Linked DNA regions of Rhinolophus ferrumequinum. The protein of the gene in region 1 binds, or shares a complex with, the protein of each later gene. Links are inferred from orthologs where the notes say so. Each region holds a gene or a part of one and is shown on either strand. Other genes may lie near its edges.

Region 1 (9,703 bases):
GACAGCCCTGCCCGAGCTGGCCAGCGCAGAGGCTGCGTTCACTGCATTCCTGTCCTCGCTGTTCTGGCCACACTGGTCTCTGCTGTGCTGGAACTTCTCCCCATCTTCGTCCCATGTGCTTCCTGAGTCATTTTACCTCCAGCATCTGCCTCCTACAGTGGCCTGTGGGCTCCTAGAGGCCACAGGTTGGTCTGTCTCACCCATCGCTGAGTTTTTGGCTCAGACCACAGTGCCTGGCTTGTGGCATGTGCTCGGTGACCATCCGCTGACGGTCGGTGGGGTGGTGTGTGTATGGTGGGAGACACAGAAAATGCCCTCCCATACCCTGAGGGTAGGGTTCGGGGGGCAGACCCCAGGTGGGGTGCTTTACCTCGTCTCACAACCCATTTTATGCCTGAGGAAATGAGACTGAAACAGGTTCAAACTACACACCGGAAGTTGCTGTATCTGTTGCCCGACCTCCTTCAGCAGGAGGGGTGCCCCGGGGTGGGTGGGCTGTGGCCTGCTGGCCCTGGGCATGGGGCCCTTGGTCATGCCCGGCTCTCCGGCAGGTTCGGGGCGACTGTGGCCGTTGGCCTGACCGTCTTTGTGCTGTTTGTTGTCACCATCATCGTCTGCTTCACCTGCTCCTGCTGCTGTTTGTACAAGATGTGCCGCCGGCCACGCCGTAAGCATGCCCCATGGGCCCTTGTGCACAGACCCCAGGGGGGCAAGGGGAGCTGACCGGGACCCTGATTCGGCTAAACTGTGGGGAAGGGCAAGCCTGAGGGTCCTGACGGGGATTCTCTTTCCAGCGGTCGTGACCACCACCACGTCCACCACCGTGGTGCACGCCCCTTACCCTCAGCCTCCAAGTGTGCCACCCAGCTACCCTGGGCCGTCGTACCAGGGCTACCACCCCATGCCCCCCCAGCCAGGGCTGGCGGCAGGACCCTACCCGACACAGTACCCACCACCCTACCCGGCCCAGCCCATGGGCCCGCCTGCCTACCACGAGACATTGTCTGGTGAGTACACTGCCAACTCTGACTCTGCCTAACCCCAAAGACCCTGCTGTACCCACAGCCAACCAGTGTCCTCTCTATTTTCAGGAGGTGCAGCCATGCCCTACTCTGCCAGCCAGCCTCCTTACAACCCAGCCTATATGGACCCCCCGAAGGCCGCCCACTGAGAATGGCCCTGCATCTCTGGCTGCCACTTGATACTCTGTGTGTATGTGCGTGTGATTGGGGATGCGGGCATGGTCTTTTTCTCCCGTGCAGGATGTGTGCGTGTCCTGTTTGTACATAAGGCTTCTGGTGGTGCTGACAGGTGGGACAGTCCGTACCAGTTACTGGGACCATACCTTTTTCTCTTCCTCACTTGAAATTATGCTTCCTTGAAATCTCAAGCAAATTCAAAGCATGAGGTGGGAGTTCTTTTCCAGACCACCCCAGGGAGACCAGGTGGGGCTTGTCACATTAGGATCGCACTGCTTTTTTCTGGGCAAGATACACGCATGTTCTGGTTTCAGCGGGATGGCTGGCCGCTGCTCGAGGCCACAGCTTGTCCCCAGGCTGTGTGCTTCCCTTCGAAGAACCAGAGCTGTGATTCAGGCAAGTGGGTGAGGTTTGGGACCTGTCTAAGTTGGGTTTTGATCCCATAGCCCCTGGAGCCTGTGCCATGGCCAGTGGAGGGTGGGCAGCCTTTTGATATCCAAACACCTAAGGCAGAGCCCCACCCACCCTGACAGCTGTCTGCCTGGACTGTTCCTGCAACTTCCCAGGGACCACCTGGAGGACCACTTCCACCCACGGTTCTGGGTACCCTGGCTGGCCCCGGCCCCCGCCAGCGGTGGGCAGGGTAGCCTCTGTCCACCTACCTACACACTCAGGTGTCCTTCCTGCCGTGTTTTTGTTTTACTTTTAGCCAAACATTTGGCCTGTTTTCTGTTTCAAAATGTGATCGTTTCTATGAGGCTGAAACCCCTGGGTCCCGGCAGAGAGGGACCCCGACCTCTGTAGCCCCTGCTTTCCCCACACCAGCCCCACAGAATATCCAGGTCCTGTACCCCCGGCCACAGTTTGTCCTGGCCGTGGGGACACCTGGGCCAGTGGACTGTCTGGAGCAAAGGGACCAAAGTGGAGGGGGCCTTGGGTGGCTGTGGGCCCGGACATGAATACCTCGGGGTTCCCTGTCCCTGTTTCTGTCTCACCATCTGTCTTAGCTTTGTGCCTGTTGATATGTTTCTGAGAGTCGGGGTCTGCACCCTTGTTTATAATAAACGCGGACATTTGGAACTGCTGCCCCCTTTCTTCAGAGCCTTGGCTGCAGGCATTGGGTAGGAGGCCAGGTACCATTTCCATCCAGCACTTGGATTTCCCTGTTTTCCCTGCTTGTGTTGGGCTCAGACGTCTGACCATCCTGCTGGGGAGGGTGAAGGACAAAGACCGCACCGCCCTCGGTGCCCCCTCCATGGCCCGAGAGCAGGCAGAGGTGCAGGCGGCTGCAAAGCTGCCCAGGAAGGTAGAGGCGAGGGACCACAGTGCTGTCGGGGTCTTTATTCATCAGACGTTCTTTCTCGTCCTATTGCCCAGGTGTGGCCAGGGACAGCCCGTACAGGGTGGCTATTGCCACGCTGAGGAAGGCCAGCAGGCCCAGTGGGGCCAGCAGGCCCTCCCTGGGTGCGGCTTCAGGGCCCTTCGCTGTAGGTAGGACCTTGGGCCTCCTGCTCCCCCCGAGGTTGGGAATGGAGTCTCCGCCTCTGGCCAGAAGGGTAGTGGCTGTGGCAGCAGGTGGCCTTGAGTGGGTTCCAGTAAAGGCTGTGACCCCGTACATTGGCTTGACGGTGCTGAAGGGCCTGGCGTGAGCGTCCACCCACTGCAGCAGGGCGCGCGGCCTCCACTGACAGATGCTGAGCAGGGCTAGGACGTCGCCCTCGGCCGTGTGCGAGTCCAGTGGGACCTGCCCGTACAGGCGTGTGTAGATGCTGCCCAGGCTGTAGCTCCTCCTCGGGCCATGCTCGGGGGTGCTGCCAGTCTGCTCTACGGCCTTCAGGGCGGCGATGCTGTCCACACAGAAGACGTCGTCCAGAGCCCTGGAGAGGCCCAGCATGGCCAACTCCGCCTGCAGCAGGGGGAAGTCGTAGCGGTCACCGTTGTGTGCCACGAGGCACCAGGGCTGTGGCTGGCGCTGCAGGAAGGCGCGGAGCAGGTTGACCAGGTCTGCATTGAAGTGTTGACGCCGGTGCGCTGCCAGCACAGCTGTGCTCAGGCCTGTGATCTCGCTGGCTGCGGGGCTACAGGCCTTCCCTGGGGCCACACAGAGGGAGAGCTTGTCCACCACGCGGGGTGGTGGGGGCACCATGGGAGGAGGCCCCTGAGGGCTGGGAGGGCTCTCCAGGGCACATCTGTGGACAGCCAGCAGGCACAGCTCCGTGATCTTGGGCTGGGAGAAGGGAAGTCCAGTGGCCTCCAGGTCCAAGAAGATGAGGGTCTGCATGGGCCCCTGGGGCAGGGCCTGCGAGGCCATGTGGGTGTCTACTGCTGAGCTGGGGAGGAGCACAGGGTGGGGAGTGGGTGTGAGTGCCCCAGTGGTGAGATTGAAGGAGAGGAGGGGAGGGGCGGGGAGGAGAGGGGAGGCAGGCACTGTCGCGAGCTCCAGGACCCATTTTCAAGGCAGGAAGCCAGAGGGTGGGATGGCTTCTTTAGTACGATCAGCACATTCAACTGTCCGGGGTTTGTTCCCCCCCAGTGCCTGCTGAGTCTGGGGAGAGGCGGGTGGAACCCATGGCCTTCCCACCCTGCCCCAGGCCCTTGGGGGTCCTCACTTACCAAGCGGCAGGCAGGCAAGCAGCAATGACTGGAGTGCACACTGGCTGGTTCTCGCTGCTGGCAGCAGTGGCGGGAAGTGAAACTTAGTCTGAGCCCGCCCACCGGGCTGGAGTGAGCAAGTCCCGCCCTGCTTGTCAGCCTGCCTCGTCCCTCCCCAGCCCCCCTCCACCCGTGACTCCCCAAAGGCCGCCTCAGACGTACAGCTGTGGGCCTGCTGGCTGGCACAGTGCGGCTGGGCCCTCAGCAGCAAGACAGCCAGTCAGGACACCGGCCGCGGTGCCCATGCTGTTGGGGAAGGCCAGCTCCAGGACTCAAGCCTGTCAGGAGCCTCTGCCATGGCCATTTTGCACCCACCCTTTAGCCCCACTTCCCCAGTCCTCCCTGGTTTAGGCCTGGGCTGAGGGCTGCCTCCTTCCTTGTCATACTTTTCTTCCCATGGCCTCTGCCCAAAGCGATGACTCAGGACAATTCCACAGGCAGGGCAGGGCTCCTTCCTCTAGGCAGATTCGTTACCATGGGGACCAGTCTCAGCTCCAGCTAGGACAGGAAGGAGCCCAGCCTTCCCTGAGTCGCGTTTCTGCTCCATCCCTCCCACTCAGCCAACACAGATCAGACTCAGGGAACACAAAGCTGGCAAGATCTTAAACAGCAGTCACTGCTTTTAATCAGTTGACGAGGTGAGGAAAACAATGGTACTGGTGCCACCAGGTGGCTCAATTCACAGCCTCAGCCACAGTCCATTTCTGGGTCATCCACGTCGGTCTCAGTGGCACAGAGGTCATCCAGGGCAGCCTCTGAGCGAGACAGAAGAGGGTTCTGTGGGGAAGGCCTGAAGGTGCTGGAGCTGCGGGAGGTCCCACCTTTCTTCCCCCCACGCCCACGAGAACTAACCAGTCCCTTCCATACCCAGGCCTTGCTCCCTCACCTATGGCAAGCAGTGATACAAAGGCAATTCAAACAGGGATGTTTCTGGAAAAACCGTGGCTCTGCCAGGCCAACTCAACAGATACGAGCAAAAGGCAGCCTGATGTGCTCAGAGAAGAACCGGAGCAGGAAGATAAGAATGACTCCAGTGCTGGCAAAGACCGTGGTGGGTGGAGGCCTGCTGGCAAGGCCTGGAAGTCTGACTCCTTCATGAACTTCAGGAAAGCCCCACAGGTGGGCCAGGGCAGGGAGGGATCCTCCTGCCAGCTCACCTTCACAGTCTGTCACGTCCGGGAGCCCTCGAATCAGCACGCTGACCCCTGGCATCACCTGGTCGTACTGGTGCAGGGCCTCCACGCAGTGCACCGTGAACAGCGTGTCCTTCTGGGACAGGCCGTGCAGCAGCAGGACCGTGTCCCGCAGACACCGCACTGTCCGCCTCTGCTGCTCAGTCCTGGGGGGCCCCCCTTCCCTCCGCACTGTCAGCCACTGTCTATGTAGCATCGCTGTGAGCGCTCTGACCACCTGGGGGTGCAGACTGAGGTCAGGCTTGCAGTTCCTGCACCCTAATGACTTGCTCGGCTGGGCAGTAGCTTCCCCTGTCCCCCAGGTGAGGAGGGCTCTGAGTGGTGGCACCAGGGCTAGAAGCGGCACGGGGCCCTGCACAGGACCGCCTCGCCTCAGCCACCAGCAGAGCTGCCCTGCTGTGCCCCCTGCCTGCCTCGGGCACTCACCTCCACGTTGCACTGGCAGTTGGAGCCGGTGATAGGGGAGGAGGGGCTCTGCACACCGAGCTTAGCCAGGAGCCACACGGCCTAGAACAAGAGCAGACTGTTCCATCCGTGGCAGAACAAGACCCTCACACATCGCAGCGAGGCCTTTCTCAGGCTCCTACAAGAGCTCCAGTGGCCTTAGTAACTGCTGGTCTGCACAAATGGGGTCCTTCCCAGACCAATCTCTGCACCAACACCCGTGTCTCACCAACAACCCACGTGCCTCCAGGCCCATCTGCAGCTACCAGGCTCCAAGGTCAGGGTAGGACCAGTTATCAGGCAACCCTGCCAAGTGCCAAGAAACCCTGGGCTCTACTGTTTTGTAGCTGTGTGGTGTGGAGCCCCCCGAAATGAGTTTACCTTGTTAGTGGCTAGATAAGCTACCAAAATGAATTAAAGCTCCCTCTCTCCAGAGGAAGGAGGGCAAATGGCTCTTAGGGTGAGGGGGTGGGGAACAGTCCACAGAAGGGGCTCTGGCATTTTTACCTCTTGCTCTAGTTGAAGCCACTGTGTGTCCGAGGCCACTTTGTCAGGCCTTGACGTGATGTACGTGTATAACAGCAGGAGGAGACAGCCGTCTGAAAAGAATGCCCAGCTCTCACTCAGGGCCCGGCTTCTCACCCAGAGCCAGCACCAGCTGCAGAAGCCCCCGTCCCTGCTGCCACCCTTCCCTCCACCCTGCAGGAGTCCAGACGCCCGCCCTGCCCACTTTACCTGAGTGGGAGCAGAGCTGAGACGCGAGCTTCTCGTGGTCCACGAGCAGGGACAGGAGCCCCACTGTCAGCAGCACGCTGGGCAGGGGAGCCTCTGGGCTGAGGCACGGCGGCAGCACCGGGAAGACACACTGGAACCTACAACACAGGGGCCCAGAGGGACATGACAATTCCCACCCAGTCCCACATTCACCCTCCCTTTTCACTGGAGGAACAGGAATTCAGGCCAGTACAGAGATGTGGTCCAGATAGACCTGCATTCCAGTGCCAGCCGACGACCACCTACTTTCACGCGAATGAGTGGGTGCTACCCTTCACTGTGGCTTAGAGATAGGCCCTCACCTGGCACAGTAACACCCAGTAAATGGGGGTTGCCTCCTTGGACCCGGGATGTCTGGCCTCCACACTGCTCCTGAGCTTTCCTGCTTCTGCTCCCAAAGAGGGAGGCAGGTCTTGGGTGAGAGAAGTGTCCTGTGCCCACCACCAAAGGACTGGCCAGGCTCCAGAAGTGATAAATGTGGACTCGGTATGGTTGGATCTTATGAGACCACTCGCCAAGAAAGGAAGCCCATTTTCTCCACTTGTACATAAGAACAGCAGCTTCTCTGCCACCAAGTATGAGAAGGTACCCACTTGGAGTGGGCACACTCTCCCCCAAGTCTCAGGGCACAGGGGCAGCTATTACCAAGTCCCAAGACAACCACTGATGTTTGTCCGACCTACACCGCCTCATGGGGGGGCAGGGACAACTCTGCGCATGTCCCCCTTCACCTTCACGCACCTGCAGTGTCTTGGCGCACAGCATCGAGGGTTAAGAATATTCCTCAGGATGCCACTAGGACGCAAGGTCTCACTATTGGGGGTGAACTCATTTTAGAGCAAATTCCTGTATGGCAGACAAGAAGCTGAATGTTTTCCGTCGCCAGGAGAGCGGGACTTGGTGGGAAACTGGAATTCAACCTGGTTGTTATAAGTGGCTCCTAACCAGTCCACTAAAGGCCTTGAAACTATCTGCATGAAGAATCCATCTTCATATACAACACAGAGGTTTCCAAATTGTTTTGATAGCATCAGAGCTTTCTTTTTAGATGAATTTTTTCGCAGCACCCCCCAACGCACAATAGGTAAGTCATGCTGCTCAATAGGTAAGTCATGGTTGAAGTTGGGGATAAGACCCATTTGCCCCAAAGCCCCTGCCATCCTAGTACCTGGGCGACAACCCTGGACCTATGTCTACAAGAGATGCTGTAGGAAGACAGGGGTGAGGCTGCCCTCAGGCCCGGTGGGGCAAGCGTGCCTGTGGAGGCACAGCCTGCCTGCACTGCGTGCTGGCTTAGAGCCTTGGTGGCACTCGTCCCTAGCTTTCACGCCAAGGTGGACAGGAAGCTGTGCGGTAGTGGGGTTCAGCTTGCAAGCGTAAAGGAATTTCGAAGAGAAGCACAAAGTGGGAGGTGGTATCAGACGTGATGAGGGGCCATGGCTCAGGAGCCTCTTTGGTTTGAAACCCATCCAGCGTGCTCCCTCTGGGATCTGAGAACTTTTCCTACCTCAACACAGGGCTTATTCACTCAACAAACACAGTGCTCAGTGAGCCAGGCTCTGTGCTAGTGTGAAGATGCAGGGCTCCGAGGGGTCGCACGAGCTAGTGAATGGAAGGCATGTGTCCGGCCTTGGTGAACACCCACTGAATGGCTGTGTTTTGATGTCCTGTGGACAAGTTGAACAGGAATGGAATGATGGTGTTTCTACCAAGAGAAGTGGTAAAAATGTGGTTCCTGGTATTCATTCATTTAATAAATATGAAATAAGCAACCAGCCACTGAGCTGGGCCCCTGCCAGGCACCCGGGCGATGGTTTGCGCCTACCGTGCTGCCCGCACTCTCTGTGGTACCGGGTCCGGCTCTCATAGACCAGACCAGCTAGAATAGATTCAGATGAAAACCAGGATCTGGGAGTATTTTTAGAAACAGGTATCTGAACTCAGAGGTGAAAAGTTACGGGCAGTCAGCAGAGTCATTTCGAGACAGGAACTGGCCTGTTTGGTGAAGCAGAGGGGGCGGTGGGGTTAGTGGATGAGGCGATGGGCTGCATGGTGTTTAGTTTCTTCCAGTCTTGAGGCTCTGGAACCTCAAGTTTGGAATTTATGACAACAGTGTTCATGAGCTAGGTTCACTGTCCTCCCACTTCCAGGAAACCTTAAGTGGAGCAAGGAACCGGTGGCTCCTGCCAGAGGTGGGCACAATGACAGGCAGATTCCTTGTGCGCTGCACACCCTCCCCACGCCCTCCTTTGAGAACCCCACCAAACTTAAACGTGGCTGTGACACGTGGGCTTCACCTGATCCACGTCCCAGGTTCAAAGGCCTCTTGGTATAGCCTTTGTCTGTCCCGGGGGCAGGACACTCTTCCCTTGTGGCTAACTGCTCTCTTTTCTCTTGTGTGTCTTTTGCTTACCAGCTGTACAGAGGCAGAATTAAGCCAAATAAACCACTTCCTTGGTTCTCACTTCAGAACTCCCTGAACAAAGCTTTACAACCTAAACCAAGGCTTAGCACTGAACAGTATAGGTAAGTCAAGAGACGAGCAAAATACAAGGGCCACAGGATAAACCTCAAGAGGTCGGGTAAGGCCCACACACAATCATGACTCCCATGCTGCAGTATACCTGGGCAAGCAATCATAGGAAGCGTTTTCAGCTAATTTCACCAAAACCTTAAGGCACTGGCTGACGACATTGGCGTGAAGGTGATTTGTTGCTGCAGAAGAGAAAGCCAAGAGGCGAAGAAGCATCTTCAATAGTGGATGCTGGCCTTGGTCACCAGCAAGCCCCCCTGGGGCAGGGCTCGCGTCCCCATGGGAGTCTAGGCTCTGGTTTCCGTCCCCAGCAGCGGAATCCGCTCCGGCTTGTGACAGTAACAGGCAGGTGACTGCTCCGCTGTGGCACACCAGGTGCTGAAGAAGGCTGAGCGAAGCCACGGAGAAGCCTTCCAGCTTGCAAAGTGAGTCCTCGGGGCTGGTATCTACCCCAGAGCTCCTGCGGGAGGAATGTGTCGGTGTGTCCCCAGGCTCCCCACTTCTCTTGGCTACTGCCAAATCCTGCAAAGCCTGGCAGTGTAAGCTGATAAAGAACTGTACCAGGGGGAGGAGGTGCACAGCTCCAGGGAGCTGGCAGAGCGGGAAGGCCCTGCTGCCTCCCTCGGCTGGGTCTCTGTCACATGAGCCTTCATTCCTGGCAATCAGATTCAGTCCAGTAAATGCCAGGTTCTGTGCTTCTCTAAGGGCCGAGAGGGGACATGACCCATCTTGAGAAACTGTGGTCCTCAGGCTTGAAATCCCAGGCAAGGAACTAGCAACAAACACAAAAGAAAACACACAGTGTGAGACGGAGATAAGGTCAAGGGCCCCAAACAACCTGCCTGCCAAACTCTCTAGCTCCCCTGCCCAGCGCACCGGCCTCCCAGGCTGGCCAAGGCCAGAAAGGG
Region 2 (10,159 bases), on another chromosome or scaffold:
TAAACTCTCATTTGTGGGGTTAGAGGTGGAAGGTTAAAGTCCACGGTACAAGTGGATGGGCTGTGACTAGACAGGGAAAGGAAGAAAGATTACAGGCGAGGATACATTAACGAGAAGAAGCAAAGACATTTCCTGCTCATAGAATGCCACCTGCTCCTCCATACTTCCTAGCTCCCTTAGAGTTACAAGGCCATGTGACGAGTTCTGGTCAATGGGTTGAAAGGAGCAGTGATACGCATCTCCTCCAGGCCAAACCAATCATTTAAGAGATACCACATGACTCTCCAGCTCTCTCCTGTTGTGGTGTGCAGAGGTTTTGTAGGGATGGCAGAGCCACATGTTAGAAAGAACTAGGTTCTCACATTGACTGCAGGTGGGGAACTAACTGTAGTGGTACTGGCCGTTCAGCAGACTTCGGGTGAGTAAGTTTGGTTTTGTTCAGTGCAATGGACTGAATGTTTATGTACCCCCCAAATTCATACGTTGAAATCCTTTAGGAGGTAGGACCTTTGGGAGGTGATTGGGTCAACAGGGTGAAGCTCTCATGAATGGCGTTGGTATCCTGATAAAAAAGAACTCAGAGAAATCCCTTTCCATTTCCACCACGTGAGGTTACAGTGAGAGGACTGCTGTCAGTGAGGAAGGGGATTCTCATCAGGCACCGAATCTGTCAGCAGCATGATCTTGGACTTCTCAGTCTCCAGAACCACGAGAGAGAAATCAATGTTTGTTGTTTATGTGGACAAAAAAGGGGTTCTTTGGAGAGTAACCTCACAGGGTGATCTGATCCTAAATTCCTAACTGGGCAGGTTATGGTGGGTAGTCAGGCCCCAGGCCTACAACTTCTTTAGTGAAAGGTTTTAAGCCAGCCCTGTCCATTCTTCTTGTGCCTTTAGGTTAACACACCTTTGAAGTGCCAGAAGTGATACCCCTTGAAGGAGGTATTAATCCTCAAGAGAGCACATGATCTTGTTAGCTATCCTGTAATCCAACCCCTGTCTTGCTTTCTCCCACCTCCATGTACATTCCCTCCTTAATTTCAAATGCATAAAAGAAGCTGTAAAACTGTTATTCTCTGGAGCATATGAGATCTTGTTTCCTCACAATTGTCATCCGTTTGGGGTCAAACTCTTATAAAAATTCTCTACAGGTTTGGGCATTCTTACGTGGACAATTTATAAGCTACCTAGTGTGCGTTTTGTTGTTGTTGTTGTTGTTATAGCAACCAAAATGGACTAAGACATCAAGCCATTGAGACTTGGGAATATTTTTTTTTTTTTGTCTGCAGCACAACCTAGCCTATCCTAACTAATAGAAAAGGCACTACAATCATAGTATTATATAAATTGCATATTAGGTGACACTCAACCCCAATCTGGGGAGGCTGAAAGGAGGAAGGAGAAATTTGCTGAACCAGTCTAGTATCATAATCATCATCAGTGAAGACAAAAGATACTGGGCCCACGTCAAAGACACCCAGCAGGGGTCCTGGAGAGTCAAACCACATGAAAGCAAGAGGGAGATTAATGCTAAATCCCTGCTCTCAGCATTGAGCCTCTTCAGCCACTTTCCCTTGAGAGTTTTAGCCTGAAAGATTACACCAGAGTCACGGCAAAGGGAGAAACTGTTATAGGCAAAGAGCCCATGTTTTTGCTGAAGACTTTATTATACCTAAACTTAGAAAGTAGAAACAAGAGGAGGGTTGTAAGAAAATATAAACATAAATGGGATTGAAGAGTTTAAGGAGAAAAGATCAACGGTATCAGTGTCATTGTTCATAGACAAGAAAACATAAGGGTGTCAAAAGAAGGCAGTATCACTGAATAGGAAGAAAAAAGATGACTGATGTAATTTGGGCTGGAATGATGTGATTTTTAAGGTCTCACTGGGCCAGGGAAGTCTAAAATCTCTGAGGACATCACAGTCTATGGTAGTTAAACATTAAGCTCTGGAGCAAAAGTCAGATGGATTCACAGTCAGGCTCTGCCACTTAACTAGTTTTGTGGCCTTGGGTAAGTTATTTAACCTTTCTGTGCCTCGGTTTCCCATTCTAAAATAGGAATTAGAATAGTGTCCACCTCATATGGTTGTTGCACCAAACTATGCGAGGAGTCTCTCAGGACTGCCTTCCCCAGTCAGCAAATAATGTGGGTTTCCCCAAAAACTCCCTCTCGGGCCTTCCATCAGGGATCAGGGCCTCACTAAGAAGATTGAGGAGGTAGTTTCCATATGTATAGTCTAGAGCCAGAAGCAGACAGATGAGCTGGGTATCTTTTTTGTGAAACAGGCAATTACCTTCACCAAATGATCCTGCTGTTTGATTTGTAGTTTGACTCTGGAGTCAAAGGTGAGAGGGTTCATACTTCATTCTTGATTATGGTCCATGAGGATTCCCTGGGGGCTCATTTCCAATTACTGTTATTAATGTTCTTTCTTTGCCCTGCATCCCAAGATGTCTTTCTGTTTCTCACACGTGGGCATAATGCATTAGTTGCTCTGATTCCTTAAATCATTAATAAGAGGACAGTCATGCCCTGAATCAATTCTATTCTTTGTATAGTATTAGAGCTAGCTGTCTCTAATTATGGTCTCAGATTATGATTTCTTCGCGCGCCATAGGTATCCTCCCCATGGAAGTAAGACCTAGGAATAAAGCTTTGTGCATAGTTCAGCAGCACACACGTGGTTTAGAGCTCAGGCTCACGTTGACCGTGCACGGACGGGCTTTATATACTGGTTCTACCTTTTCCAGCTGTCTGAACTTGGGCAAGTTACTGACCCTGAATGAGCCTCAGTTTCCCCACCTAAAAATGTGGATAACAGTATTTACCACATTAAGTTGATATATGGATTAAACAAGTTACTGTAAGTAAAGCACTTTGTACGTGGCACAGGACAATCTTTCAATAAACATATTATTATTCATTTCTGCATAACAAATGAATGGTAATTACTGCTTTTAAAATAATTTTTATACCCACAGATCACTTTTATGCAGATAATTCCCATAGGTCTCTCCTTAGGCCTAGCATTTCTTCTGAACCCCAGAGAAGTATCTTCAATTGATTACTGCATATTTTCTCTTTTGTATCACCCTCCATCAGATTCAACATTACACCATACTCCTCTTTCTCTAGCTGGCTCCCTCTGGTCTTTCCTATTTCTGTTAATATCGTTAATTGTCAGTTTCTTAGGTATAAAATTTTATCACCCATAGCTATAAAAAAAAAAACCCAGCTGACATTTATTATTTACTACGTGCCTGACACTGTGTTAAATTTTCATTGAATTATTTTATATAATCCTCACAATAATCTTATGATTTGGTGACTGTTAGTACTCCCATTTAGCAAACATAGAAACTGAGGCTTTGTGATGTTGAGTAACTTGTCCAAGGTCACATAACTAATAAGTGACTGAGCCAAGAATCAACGCCCATTTTCTGAAAACAGAGCCATGCTCTTTTAAGCACTACCGCTGTTATGATACAGTTCCTCTCCATCCCTTTTTGATGATATCTAATCACCTCCCAAATCTTGTCAGTTTATCCTGGGAATTCTATGATAAACATTCCTTTGACCACTTTAATTCAGAGGAGGTGGTATCTGTCCTCATACCTTGATCCGCCTAATGGGTCTCTGCTTCCAGCCTCTCCCTGTCCCATCTATCCTTCAGATTATAATGAAATTCTTCACCGTCTAAAACAAAGCTCTCCCCATGTACCACTGTAATCTTGAACAAATTGGGCCATCTCTTTTGGTCTGTTAGTATCTCTGTAAAGTGAGTGAATTAGATGGCTTCAATAAATGAGTTCAAAATGTTTCTCATGTCACTGTCCTACGCCTCAAACTTCAATGACTTTCCATTAACTATAGTTGAAAGTCTCAACTTTATGGACTAGCATTTAAAGCTTGTCACTAATCTGGTGGTCTTTTCCCCACTGGTCCAGAGCATTCTTTTAGGAGTCTAATCAGTTTCTCATTTTCTACTTTTCCCTGCTTGCTTTCCATCCTTTGCTTTTGCTATTTTCCTGATCCCCTGATACCTACAGACTTATCTATTTACCTCTTCTTTTTGTGTATCCAAATGCTACCTCCTCTATAAAATCTTCCCCCTACTTTATTCAGGCATCCCAGTGACCACTCTTCCTTGCTCTACAATAATTGATATCTTAGCACAGTTCACTAAACATTACTCCTATTATTATTTTTTTGGGGTGAATACATTTGATTAGCAGTTTTGTTTGTTTGTTTTTAGCAAGGGGTGGGTGGAAGGCCAGTGATTTGATGTTTTAGGTAGTGATATCCCATTCTTAGAGGTTTCAAGCAGAGGCAGAAATCCCTTGCAAGGATTTCTGGAGAGGGGATTGGTCCATATGCCCATTAAAATTACTTTTAGTACTAAATTCTTATTGTTCTCTGATTTGTTTTGCAGAAACATTTACCTTTGGAAGCCTGGAGGGCTGTGTGTAGGGTTGGGAAAGGAAGGTTAGGGTGGAGTCATGGAATTAGGATGGCTTCCAAGAGAGATGAGACTGTCCTGTTTTCTACTGCCCAACCCACTTCTCTCGCATCTGTCTGGGCAAGACCTTACTTCCCTACCTAATAAGGCTTAAATCATCCTGGCTCAAGGTCTTGAAGACTATTAATCAATAGCATTGAAATCATCAAACTGTTAGGCTCCATCCCAGACCTACTGAATCAGAATCTGTATTTTATGTGACTTGTTTGTACATAGAAGTTTTAAAACCACTGTACAGGGGGCCTCAACCACTAAAAAGGAGCTTTGTAGATAATTCTATTGAACTGATATTAACAAACTCCGAGAGAGAGAGAGAGAGAGAGAGAGAGAGAGAGAGAGAGAGAGAGAGAGAGAGAGAGAGAGAAAGGAGGAAAGAAAGAAGACAAAGAAGGGAGGGAGGGAGAGTGGGAGGAAGGAAGGAAAGAAAGAACTCTTAGTTTTACATTTGACATTTAAATCTATGATCCATTTTGAGTAAATTTTTGTTTAAAGTGGGAGGTTAGGCAGAGGTTCTTTTTTTTCTCTTTTTCAGTAGATGTTCAATTGCTCAGCACCATTTATCGAAAAGGCTCCTGATTCTACTTTGTACCTTACCCCCCCCTCATTCCTCCTACAGCAGTCAGAATGATTAAAAGAAAAGTGTATCAGATTATGTCATGCCTTGTTCAAAACTCTGCAATGGCTTCCCATCGCAGCATAATCTGGCCCTCCTCCCCAGTGGCATTTTCTACCAATGGATCCCCACTATAATGCGCTCAGATAACCACTGGACTTCCTCCCTCACTTCACGCATGTCTATTCTAGTACTGTCACCTCCTCGCAGAGATTTCTTCAACCAACTTTTTAAAACAGTTTACTCTCTCAATCTTTCTCCCTGCCCTGCTTTTCTTAACAGCACTTACATAATGCCATATACATTTGTTTATAGTTTGCCCCCATTCCCAACCCCACCAGAAGCTCCAAGAGAGTTTACTGCTATACCCTCAGGCCCTAGAATAGTGCCTGGCACACAGTAAGTACTCAGTATTTATTGCTTGACAGGTTGGAATGAATACATAAATGTAAAGCAAGAGAGACTTGTCTACCTCTAGATCGGGCGCTCGTTCAGACTTCATGCAACGTGTGAGCGCCACCTCCCGGGAAGCCAATTTGTTCCAGAACGAAGGTTAGTCACAGAATCAAAAAAAAAAAAAAAAAAAAAAAAGATGGTTGCAGCCCGCCGGAAGAGAAAAAAAAGCACTAACGGAAGTTCAACATCTAAAATGACACCCGATTCACAGGAGGAAGCGGGGCGAATGGGTGTTCTGCAACTCCGCCGCCGGTCTGGGCAGAAGGGTTCCGCGCGTGCGAGTGCCAGGAACCACGTGGGACCAGGGAGTGTTTCCGGTGCCGGCGACAGAGCTACTACTGCAGTAGCTCAAGCAGCTGGAGGGGTGAGAAGATTTCGGGGTCCTACGAGGAAAGGGGAGAGCAGTGGGGTCAGAGGAGCGGGGAGGTGAAGGGATCGTATGAGTTCCTATCTGAGAGGTGGCGAAGGGGATTGAAAGGGAGGGAAGGACCGGGGAGCGCCACTCGACAGGTACAAACTTGTCAGCGCACGTCTCACGCCACGTGGACTCGCCTTTGTCCGTGGCTGCCTTTCCCATCTGGCCGCGACGACAGGGGTCGTGCCTTATTTGTATATGTCAAGTGCAGTGCTGGGTACGGAGTTGGCGCTCCGTATGGGCTTGCAGAATGAATGACAGCTGTGTGTCAGGGTGGCTGTGGAGGGACATTTATAGGGGCTGTTTCTGGCTCTTTAGCCCCATTTTCTCCTGGTGAATCCATGCTTGTCTCGAGCTTCCAGCGGGAGTTCTCCACTAGTCCTAGTCTCTTTTTCTTGGAGGGTGATTACCAAAGATATTTTCTTTGCTCTTGCTGACTGCTAGGTGCTAGGGACGGACACATCCCTGTATAATGGCAGCAGACCAGTGGGGAAACAGACACACAAACGTAAAATTCAAATATATTGTGAAGGTGCTGAAATAAGTTAATTAAAGTACAGGAAGATAGAGCCAGGGGGTAGTGCTGCTACCCACATTAGGCATTGTCTTTCAAGGTAAGGGGTCTCCTGCTTTCTCATCTTGTGGTGGCAGAGCAGGTCTTTAGCTTAGTCATCTCTGTAAAAAGAACGATCTGCAATAGATGTTTTCTAGGCTTCCAGCGCAATGTCCCATATCAGATATTACTAATGGCTCTAATTCTCCCACAATCCACAGTTTATTGGTTAGAGTATTCATTACATCTTACGATGTAGCATAAATTGCATAGGGCTGGGAAATCTGGATTTTGGCCCTCATTCTGGTGCTCTAGATCTGTTTCCTCATTTGTAAAATGATGGGGATTGTAATAAAATAATCTGTAAAATTGCTTCCACTCCTAATATCATGATATGTATGGCAGTAGGTCAAACCACATTTCATACTGCCTTGTACCAGATGTCACTTTCACATTATCTGTGTAGTTTTCCTCATCTGGATAATTGAGAAAGATAGCGTCTTTTTTTGTTTTTGTTTTTTTTTAAGTCCCTTACCTTAGTTCTTTCACAGTGTTGGGTATACGGTAGATGCTTGATAGAAGCTTATTAAATCAAATGGGGTAGAAATTATAACCCCTGCTTTTGGACTCCTCTTCACTCTGGAATATTAGTTCATACATGAGGAGACTGGGGAGGAATTGGGTTTTTACTGGAGAGACTTGGAGCTGACATGACAGATTTAAACCGGATTTATGGGGGTAATCTGCTTGAGAAAGATAATGACGTAGGCAGGATGTTCAGCGCTGTTTCATCCCGCCACCTGTCTATCTCCAGGACCATGGCCAACACTGAGCGCACATTCATTGCCATCAAGCCCGATGGGGTCCAGCGCCAGCTCGTGGGAGAGATCATCAAGCGTTTTGAACAGAAGGGATTCCGCCTTGTTGCTATGAAATTCATGCAGGTTAGTGGCCTTCATTCTTACTACTCGTTTTTTCTATTTTTTCGTAGTATAAGGGGACGTTGTAGGTTAGCCTCTCTGTTTCTCCCCTACCATCCTTTTTAGACTTTTCCATGTAGGGTGAACACAAATGCCTTGAAACCTGGAAACTCCTTGGTGGCCTAGTATCATGGCTGAGTCTTGGAACAAACCAAGTTATTTGGGACTTTAGGAAATAGCTTCCCGCTTCCTTTAGCAGAGTTCCACATTTACTGCAGTGCTGTGATTTCTGACTCAAAGCTCTGAGCATGTTTGAGCTCTGCTCTTGAGCTCCCTGAGCAGATAACTTTAGAAAACTCCCTCCCCCCCCCACTTTGAGGAAAGTTGTTTTCACCACGGAAATCTTTCCATCATCATTTACTACCCCCTTAGTGTCTAGCATGTATTTGGCACTATCAGGGCGTGTGAGGGGAAACTGGTTTTGCTCTGGGGAGGCCCACCTGAAATGGGAGAGAGTAGACACTCTTGAAAGACACCTACAAAGCAATATTTCAAAAAGTGCAAAGGATTGATTGGCCAAGAACTCTTCTTCAAACAAACCTGGGAAATGAGAATTCAAATTCTCAAAGCAAATACATTAGGGGACCATCTTTTTTCTTATTAAGAGTCAACTTTGGGGGCCGGCCCGGTGGCTCAGGCGGCTGGAGCTCCATGCTCCTAACTCCGAAGGCTGCCGGTTCGATTCCCACATGGGCCAGTGGGCTCTCAACCACAAGGTTGCTGGTTCAACTCCTCGAGTCCCGTAAGGGATGGTGGGCTCCGCCCCCTGCAACTGAGATTGAACACCGCACCTTGAGCTGAGCTGCCGCTGAGCTCCTGGATGGCTCAGTTGGTTGGAGCGTGTCCTCTCAACCACAAGGTTGCTGGTTCGACTCCCCCAAGGGATGGTGGGCTGTGCCCCCTGTAACTAGAAACGGCAACTGGACCTGGAGCTGAGCTGCACCCTCCACAACTAAGACTGAAAGGACAACAACTTGACTTGGAAAAAAGGCCTGGAAGTACACACTGTTCTGCAATAAAGTCCTGTTCCCCTTCCCCAATAAAATCTTTAAAAAAAAACAAAAAAAAAGAGTCAACTTTGGACTCTCCTAGTGGATCTTAAATTTAGTTTGATTTACAATTTAGTTCCTATGTGATGCAGTTTAGAAAAACTGCTTTAATATTAAAGGGAGTAGACTGATGATAATGCTGAGTAGAGAGCCTGTTAGAATGATTAGAGCCACGTGTTTTCTGAAGAATGAGTTAGAATCTGTCACGTTGCTTGGTGGTATGTGGGAACAAATTCAGTTTGCTAGAGAGCAAACCATCTGCTTAGTGATTGCAACTCAACTTCCAAAGCAATGTTTTCCAGAGAGTCTACATATTATGTTAGGTTGGAAGGTAAGGTGAAATGAAAGTATTGTTGACGGGGCATTTACCATGTGCTGGGAACATGTGTTTTCTCATCTAGCCCTTATGACAACCCTGAGAGGTGCTTATTCCTATTCTCATGGTTGTTAGTGATGAGGAATCTGAGGCTTGGAGATGTCAAGTCATGTGCCTGAGAACACACAGTGATGCAACAGGGATTTTAATTCAGGTCTCCCTGACTCCTACATGCTTCCATTTTCTCCTTTCCACTGAGTTTCCTGACAAGAATATGGGCTTGGTGAAAAGTGGGAGGAGGGGTAGCTCCTACAAAGTTATTTGAATCTGATGTGGAGGAGAGAGGCAAGGGAAAACTTGAGGTCACCCTCCCCTCAAAAAAAAAAAAAAAAAAGCGTGGAATCTGTTTTGCCGACTCAAGATAATCAGAGCCAATTAATAGAAATAAAAGAGTGTTTTGGTAAGGGAAGATCAAGTCAGTGTGTGTTAGCAGACTACCGCTATTAGTCTTCCATTGGGATTGAAAGGGCCAGTGAGCGTGAATTGCTAACATGGAGTGATCATATGGCTGTGTAATTTTACTTTGGCAAGTGACCATCAGTGAGGGCTGAATGTTAAGATGTTCCAGATGTGCTTTTCGACAGCAAATCTCCACATTTTTATATATCACTGCAGTGTTCACTATATCTCATACAGTGTAGTACTATGGACCTGAAAAAACTAAGGGACATTGGTAGACCCTTAAAAAGCATACATGTAGTGGCAGAGAGAGAATACAGATGAGAGGAGTTAGAATTGCTAAGCAGATGGCTGGCTCTCTGGCAAACTTGATTTGTTCCCACATACTAGCCATGCAGTGTGAGACATTATAATTAATTCTTCAGCAAAGTTATTTATTGCTAGGTGTCATGAACTTTTGGGTGGTTTGCAGATACATGTGAGAATCGCCTGGTTATAACCCTGGGCCTTTGTCTTCTGAGTACATGTGAAGTATCGCTGAGAAATGGCCTGGTTCAGTTTGCCGCTCACCAAATGCCGAGACCACTTCGCTGACTTCCCTCTAACATTTTAGTTGAGTGTCGCTCTGGGAATGGAAATTCATTGCACTGTTAGATTTTCTGTCTAAAATGAGATGGCTGGATTTGATTCTGATGTCCTGTGGTTTTATTCTGATCCGTCAAGACCAATAGGGGGAAAATTGGTACAAAGCTGAAACACTTTCAGTCATGGTCACTGCCCCCCATGGTAGTGGTGAG

Evidence for each region.
Region 2: TREX1 (region 1) and nucleoside diphosphate kinase A share a complex: the UniProt entries of both Homo sapiens proteins name them as parts of the SET complex. The link is inferred for Rhinolophus ferrumequinum from reciprocal best matches to the Homo sapiens genes TREX1 and NME1.

What each region holds. Positions count from the first base shown.
Region 1 is NC_046300.1:7,625,081-7,634,783, forward strand, and holds TREX1 (three-prime repair exonuclease 1), read right to left. Parts: upstream 3,953-9,703; 5' UTR 3,813-3,952; intron 3,530-3,812; 5' UTR 3,511-3,529; coding exon 2,566-3,510; 3' UTR 2,532-2,565; downstream 1-2,531. Other genes in the region: SHISA5 (protein shisa-5), read left to right, coding at 552-667, 795-1,007, 1,092-1,171; ATRIP (ATR-interacting protein), read right to left, coding at 4,539-4,606, 5,009-5,261, 5,471-5,551, 5,996-6,087, 6,224-6,360, 8,887-9,567. UniProt on the Homo sapiens protein: Major cellular 3'-to-5' DNA exonuclease which digests single-stranded DNA (ssDNA) and double-stranded DNA (dsDNA) with mismatched 3' termini. Prevents cell-intrinsic initiation of autoimmunity.
Region 2 is NC_046304.1:32,587,168-32,597,326, reverse strand, and holds the start of nucleoside diphosphate kinase A, read left to right. Parts: upstream 1-5,927; 5' UTR 5,928-5,954; intron 5,955-7,372; 5' UTR 7,373-7,376; coding exon 7,377-7,502; intron 7,503-10,159. UniProt on the Homo sapiens protein: Major role in the synthesis of nucleoside triphosphates other than ATP. The ATP gamma phosphate is transferred to the NDP beta phosphate via a ping-pong mechanism, using a phosphorylated active-site intermediate.